Linked DNA regions of Xenopus tropicalis. The protein of the gene in region 1 purifies or fractionates together with the protein of each later gene. This does not show direct contact. Links are inferred from orthologs where the notes say so. Each region holds a gene or a part of one and is shown on either strand. Other genes may lie near its edges. The genes, in order: hipk2 and dcaf7.

Region 1 (3,929 bases):
CGGCCCGTGTAGGGGCACTACCTACGGGCCTGCCTGACCGATATCTGGCCTGAAATCGGGCAGATATCAATCGTGCAGTTTCAAAAATTTAGTCGGATCGGGGACTGCAGCGACTCATTGATGCGCTCCCCGATCCGACTTCGCCTATTACTGGCACTCTAATTCGATTGTTTGCCCCCAGGTCCAAACGACCGAATTAGCCTGGATTCGCCCGATATCACCCACCTGTAGGTGGGGATATCTGAAGAAGATCCGCTTGCTTGCTAACATCGCCAAGCTTAAAGGTCCCCATACACGGGCCGATTGTAGCTGCCGATATGGGTCCCTAAAGGTGGCCATACACGAGCAGATCCGCTCGCTTGGCGATGTCGCCAAGCGAGCGGATCTTCCCCCGATATCCCCACCTACGGGTGGGCGATATCGGGGAGCATTTAGGTAAAAAAAAAAATAATCCAATCGTTTGGCCCTGGGGCCAAACGATCGGATTATGTGGGCGGCAATGGGGCAGTCGGATCAGGGACCGCATCAACGAGCTGATGCGGTCCCCGATCCGACCGGATTTTCTAACCTGGCCGATCGAGATCTGGCCAATTTCAGGCCAGATATCGGTCGGCCAGGCCGCTCTGCCCTGCCCATACACGGGCCGATTAGCTGCCGAATCGGTCCAAGGGACCCATATCGGCAGCTATAGTCGGCCCGTGTATGGCCACCTTTAGACCGACTCGGCAGCTTATCTGCCTGTGTAGGGGCACTAACGACTGGCCTGCCCGACCGATATCTGGCCTGAAATCAGACATATATCGATCCGGCAGCTTAAATAATTTAGTCGGATGTGGTCCCCGATTCGACTTTTTCTATACCCGTCGTTCTGTTTCGATTAGAACCGAATTAGCCTAGATTCGCCCGATTTTGCCCACCTGTAGTACACTTATTGTACAGCGCTGCGGAATAGGTTGGCGCTTTATAAATAAACGTTAATAATAATAATGCAGTCTTGGGCCTACCCCCCAGCCCCAAGAGCTTGCACTTCATAAAACCTACCCAGGGAGCTGGATAATGACTGGGGAGATGACCTCTTTCAATACCCACCCCCAATACAAACACAGCAAGGCTGCCTCCCCCCCCCCCTCTCCCATTGCACCAAGCTCCTTTGTGACTCCATGAAGGGTTAATAGGATCCCCCCCTCCCCCCCTTTTACTCCTGATTGAAATGTGTTGGTTAAACAGAAATCCCACACAGCCTCTCCAGCAGAGGAGAAGAGGAGAAGGGGAGGGGGGAGACACTTTGAGAAAGTACAGCCTCTCCCCGCCCCCCCCCCCCTCCCCATTGGAATCCATGCGATCGGCGCTCGATTGCTCCGCGAAGGCAGGAGAAAGAGACACACAGAGAAGGGATCGCACCCCCCCCCCCCTCTGCCTTTTTCTCTTTCCTAAATGCAACTTTCCGTGCAGCTCGCTGGGAGGCTGGGTGCGGGGGCTCCCTGCATGGGGGTGCGGACTGAGGGGAACACAGGGGGCTGGAAGGCTGCCCGGGGGGGCTTCTAATAGCTGCCAGCAGGGGGGCTGCGTTGATTAGAAACAATATCTGCATTTACCCCCCCCCCCCCCCGCTCACCTTCCAGGGCAGGCCACTGGCGTTCCCGGTGCTTATTGGGGTGCAGCGGGTAAGATGGGGGAGCAGCCGGACCTGCAGCGGCTCTGACTGACTGATCAATGCGGGAGGCGGACGGGAGCCGGCAGGGTCACAAGCTTGTCCCCCTATTCTCTGTGGGGGGAGCCCCAAAGCGCGTCCAGAGAGGCCCCCGGTATGGCAGCGGTGGAGAGACCCAGACTGCGGTAAGGAACAGCTGAGGGTGATTTTCTAATTCCAACCCCCCCCCCTTCCCAACATTGGGAGCCCCCCGTGTTTATCATTTCCACACCCTGCCCCCCCATCTGCAAATGGACCCTTCCATACTTACCCCTGCCCTGCATTGTGTCTGCCCCTAGAACCCCCTCTGTACCCTTGCCCCCCTATTGCCCATATGGAATATCCTGCACCCCCTCTTCCCCTAGAACCCACTCTGTATCCTTGCCCCCCTATTGCCCATATGGAATATCCTGCACCCCCTCTTCCCCTAGAACCCACTCTGTATCCTTGCCCCCCCTATTGCCCATATGGAATATACTGCACCCCCTCTTCCCCTAGAACCCACTCTGTATCCTTGCCCCCCTATTGCCCATATGGAATATACTGCACCCCCTCTTCCCCTAGAACCCACTCTGTATCCTTGCCCCCCCTATTGCCCATATGGAATATCCTGCACCCCCTCTTCTAGAACCCACTCTGTATCCTTGCCCCCCTATTGCCCATATGGAATATCCTGCACCCCCTCTTCCCCTAGAACCCCCTCTGTATCCTTGCCCCCCTATTGCCCATATGGAATATCCTGCACCCCCTCTTCTAGAACCCACTCTGTATCCTTGCCCCCCCTATTGCCCATATGGAATATCCTGCACCCCCTCTTCTAGAACCCACTCTGTATCCTTGCCCCCCTATTGCCCATATGGAATATCCTGCACCCCCTCTTCCCCTAGAACCCACTCTGTATCCTTGCTCCCCTATTGCCCATTTGAAATATCCAGCACCCCCTCTTCCTCTAAAACCCACTCTGTATCCTTGCTCCCCTATTGCCCTATGGAATATCCTGCACCCCCTCTTCTTCTAGAACGCACTCTATATCATTGCCCAGACGGAATATGCTGCACCCCCTCTTCTCCTAGAGCCCACTCTATATCATTGCCCATTTGGAATATCCAGCACCCCCTCTTCCTCTAGAACCCACTCTGTGTCATTGCCACCCTATTTCCAATATGGAATATCCTGCACCCCCTCATCTCCTAGAACCAACTCTGTATCCTTGCTCCCCTATTGCCCATATGGAATATCCTGCTCCCCCTCTTCTAGAACCCACTCTATATCATTGCCCCCCTATTTCCAATATGGAATATCCTGCACCCCCTCTTCTCTACCTCACCTCAACACCAAATTCTCACCTCTATTATATATATATTGTTATTATACGGGATATGTTGTATATATTCCTCTGTCTCTACTTATACACCCACAGGGGCTGCCTGTAAATAATGGGTGTGATAGGGCGAGGGGTTAAAAATCTAAACTGAACTTGAGTTTTTTTTCTCCTTGGTTCTGTAGGAAGGATGGGGGGGGGGGGGGCTGCCATTGTTTTATTATCTTAGTTTGGCCTTGAAAAAACTAGTGTGTGTGTATATAGGTAAATATATATATATATATATATATATGTATGTGTGTGTGTGTGTGTGTATATATATATATCTCTATCCCCAGCGCCTCCCTCTGTGGCTCTGCAAGGGTGTAGAATGAATTCTCATTAACTCCTTGACTCCCAGCAAGGCACAATACAGAGGAATCGCTTGCCCTTGCCTTGTTACATATTCACATAGAAACTGCCCAGGATCTATTTCGAGAGACTGTTACTCGGGATAAAGTTCTTATATAACAGGGAAGGGTTATTTATTAACTGCTTTTTATGGAAGTGCCATAAAGCGATCCCTCCCCGTGTGACAGGCCACTGGGCACAATGTCGGGGCTGTTTTAGAACATACCCTTCTTTAGTACATTACAGCGCTTAAGCAAAAAATAAAACCCCATATCCCCGTTTAACATGTTCAACGCCGTACGGGTTTCTGCTGCAGTGGCTGCACAATTCTGCGGCTTTGCGGTCTGCGTCAGTCCGACTGCAGCGAGAAGCAGAGACAAAAGATTATATTATTATATAAAAAAGCCTGCACCAGCGGATCCCACAGCCCAGTGCTCTGTCTGGGTGGTTTTAGAGGAAGATTTTGACTTCATAGAATTCCTGATTGGGTGCCCCCTGCTGGCAGTGAGGAGGAACCCACCCCCCCAA
Region 2 (2,611 bases), on another chromosome or scaffold:
GCAAGGCCTGCTTTTTCACAGTTCTCTGTTCCTTGTAGATCCAAGGTTATTTAATGCATTTTCATAAAACATCACCCAAACTAACACTGAGAGCAAGCCTCTGAGCTTATAAACCAACTTGATACAGTAACTCTATAACTTCTTTAAGCTGACCTTACTTAATATGCCCACCTCCAGGTGGGCGATTTCAGACTGATCCTAGGGCCAAACGATCAGATCATAAAAATGGGGATACAGGCCATTGGGATGGGATTTTTAAACCCCAGATTTCATCCAGATATTGGTTTGGTAGGCCCATTGGAGGGCCCTAAAATAAACAGGTGATAAGCTGCTGACTTGGGCTGAATGAGCAGCTAAAATCTGTCCTCTGGTCCATATGGTTATCTTTAGTTTTCATTTGCCTTTCGAGCAAACACATTTATGTACATGCATTGTACTCTCTTTTAGGTGGATATATAAACCAATTCAGTGCAGTTACTCTATACCTCTTACTTTTTAGAACACTCTCTTTAGTCTTCACCTAACCCCTAATACACGCTTCAATTGCCTCCCTAGCAAGCCGATATTAACTACATGCAGTGTTCAAGTGGACATATAAACCAGCTTGATAACAATATACTGTCCCTGTCTGGAACAAATCAGACCATCATATATCGGCCATTTCCCTCTTGTGCTAGGACTTTCTATTGTTTGTATTGTGGGTATAGGAATGTTCATTGGACTGCAGAATAACATTATTTTCTTTAACCTTCAGGAACCTCAAGTATTGATACAACATGCACAATCTGGGGTTTGGAGACTGGACAGGTCCTTGGCAGGGTTAATCTGGTGTCTGGACATGTGAAAACGCAGCTCATTGCCCATGACAAAGAGGTGAGAAGCCTTTGGTTTATCGGTAGGAAATGTGATATGGGAAGGTATGTACAGACTATCCCATGAGTGAGTTCCAGTCACACTTCTCTGAGGCTCTCTATAGTTTGCTGGGTTGCTTTGTGCTGCATGCCCATATTGTGGCTGCGGGGGGATTGCAGTTGTGGGTAAAGAGACACCTGACTTAACGGGTCTGGGTTGCTAGAGCCTTTAGATTTGTTCAGAGAGTAGTAATCGGTTTGAAGACCTTGTACAGGTCTAGGCCCAACCCATTGCTCTTGGGGTATCTGTAAGGGCAAGCACAGAGACGTGTTATTCAGGCCTTTACCGTGCTCCCTATTCCCAAGGGGGGTTGTTGGATGGTTAGTGCCTTTCTCTCAGCGGGAGGTGGTGGCACCTCCTTCTCCTTCATCTGCCTCTGCCGGAGAATTTAAAAAAAATGTGTGGTGTCGCCATCTTGTATAGCAGGAGAAAAGTCCAGATATATGGAGATTGTGATGCCATTGTATAGAATCGGGCCTTTGAGCCTTGCTACGCTCAGAGCTGCGACCCGTTCCCTAAAGTTGAGCAGTTTGAGTCGGAATGGTGGTCTTGGTGGTGCTCCCGGTGGGGGTGGCCTGGGAGGAACTTGATGGGCTCTTTTCACCACGAATAGTGAGGAGAATGTATCTGCTTCCACTACATCCTATAGCCATTTGCAAATAAATGCCTCTGGCTGCTGTCCCTCCACCCTTTCGGGAGCCCCACTATTCTGATCTTGCTCATCCTAAGTCTATTCTCCAGGTCTTTGTTTTGTCCATTAGTGCTTAGATTTGCTGTTACTGATGGCATGGTGTTGTGTATGGGGTTAATTGTATCCTCGGGAGACCTGAGTTTCCACAGCAGCAGTGCGGCCTCTCATGTATTAGAGGTCCGGGCGCAGGAGGGACAAGTTGATCTTAATCCCTTCTATTTGTGAGGTAGTGGCTGCTCTAGTTTCTTTTATAGCTTCCAATAAGTCCCCCATTGTGGGCTCGCTAGGCTCTTGGTTGGGAGGGGGGCCTGGTGGTTCTGGCGTTAATGTCTGGCAGAAGCTTTTGTCCAGCGGGAACCTGGCTGGGTGAGTGAGGGCGTAGCCTCTGATCTCATACATGGAAAATGTTTGCCCATGTTGGCTTTTAGTACTGCATTCCAGTGGTTGCTGGCAAACTGTGAGTGAGTAGTAAATGGAGTGTGGAGTGAAGAGAACTGCCAAAGAGATCAATCGATACACAGAGCTCTCACTTTATGCATCTGGTTTGGTCGCCATCTTGGACACACCCAAGTGGTGTCATTTTTACAGCACCAATTGGAGATGGGAATAAATTACATTAGAGCATTATTCAGGCAGCAAAAGATGGGGCATTAATAAATTAAACTAGGAAAGGTTCAGAGGAAGTCCTAAATGTCTTGTCATTGTTTTCCAGTGTACACGGTGATGGGTCCTGCAGGTTGTGCAGTTATAGTTACACAGGGTTGAAAAAATCCAAAGTCCGTCAAGTTCAACCCTTCCAACTGAACCCAGTGCAGTATGAATGAGTTAGGTTTTTTTAACCCATATGAATATAAAAGTATTTTCTTTCCCCTCCCCTGTGTGTGACAGGTCTATGACATTGCATTCAGCCGTGCAGGAGGGGGCAGAGACATGTTTGCCTCTGTGGGGGCAGATGGCTCTGTGCGAATGTTTGACTTGCGCCACCTGGAGCACAGTACAATCATCTAT

Evidence for each region.
Region 2: the proteins of hipk2 (region 1) and dcaf7 purify together in Homo sapiens (affinity purification with western blotting; 3 studies listed by BioGRID and IntAct, with this or other methods). This does not show direct contact. The link is inferred for Xenopus tropicalis from reciprocal best matches to the Homo sapiens genes HIPK2 and DCAF7.

The regions. Positions count from the first base shown.
Region 1 is NC_030679.2:7,975,004-7,978,932, reverse strand, and holds the start of hipk2 (homeodomain-interacting protein kinase 2), read left to right. Parts: upstream 1-1,353; 5' UTR 1,354-1,836; intron 1,837-3,929.
Region 2 is NC_030686.2:16,434,742-16,437,352, reverse strand, and holds part of dcaf7 (DDB1- and CUL4-associated factor 7), read left to right. Parts: intron 1-754; coding exon 755-873; intron 874-2,491; coding exon 2,492-2,611. UniProt on the Homo sapiens protein: Involved in craniofacial development. Acts upstream of the EDN1 pathway and is required for formation of the upper jaw equivalent, the palatoquadrate. The activity required for EDN1 pathway function differs between the first and second arches.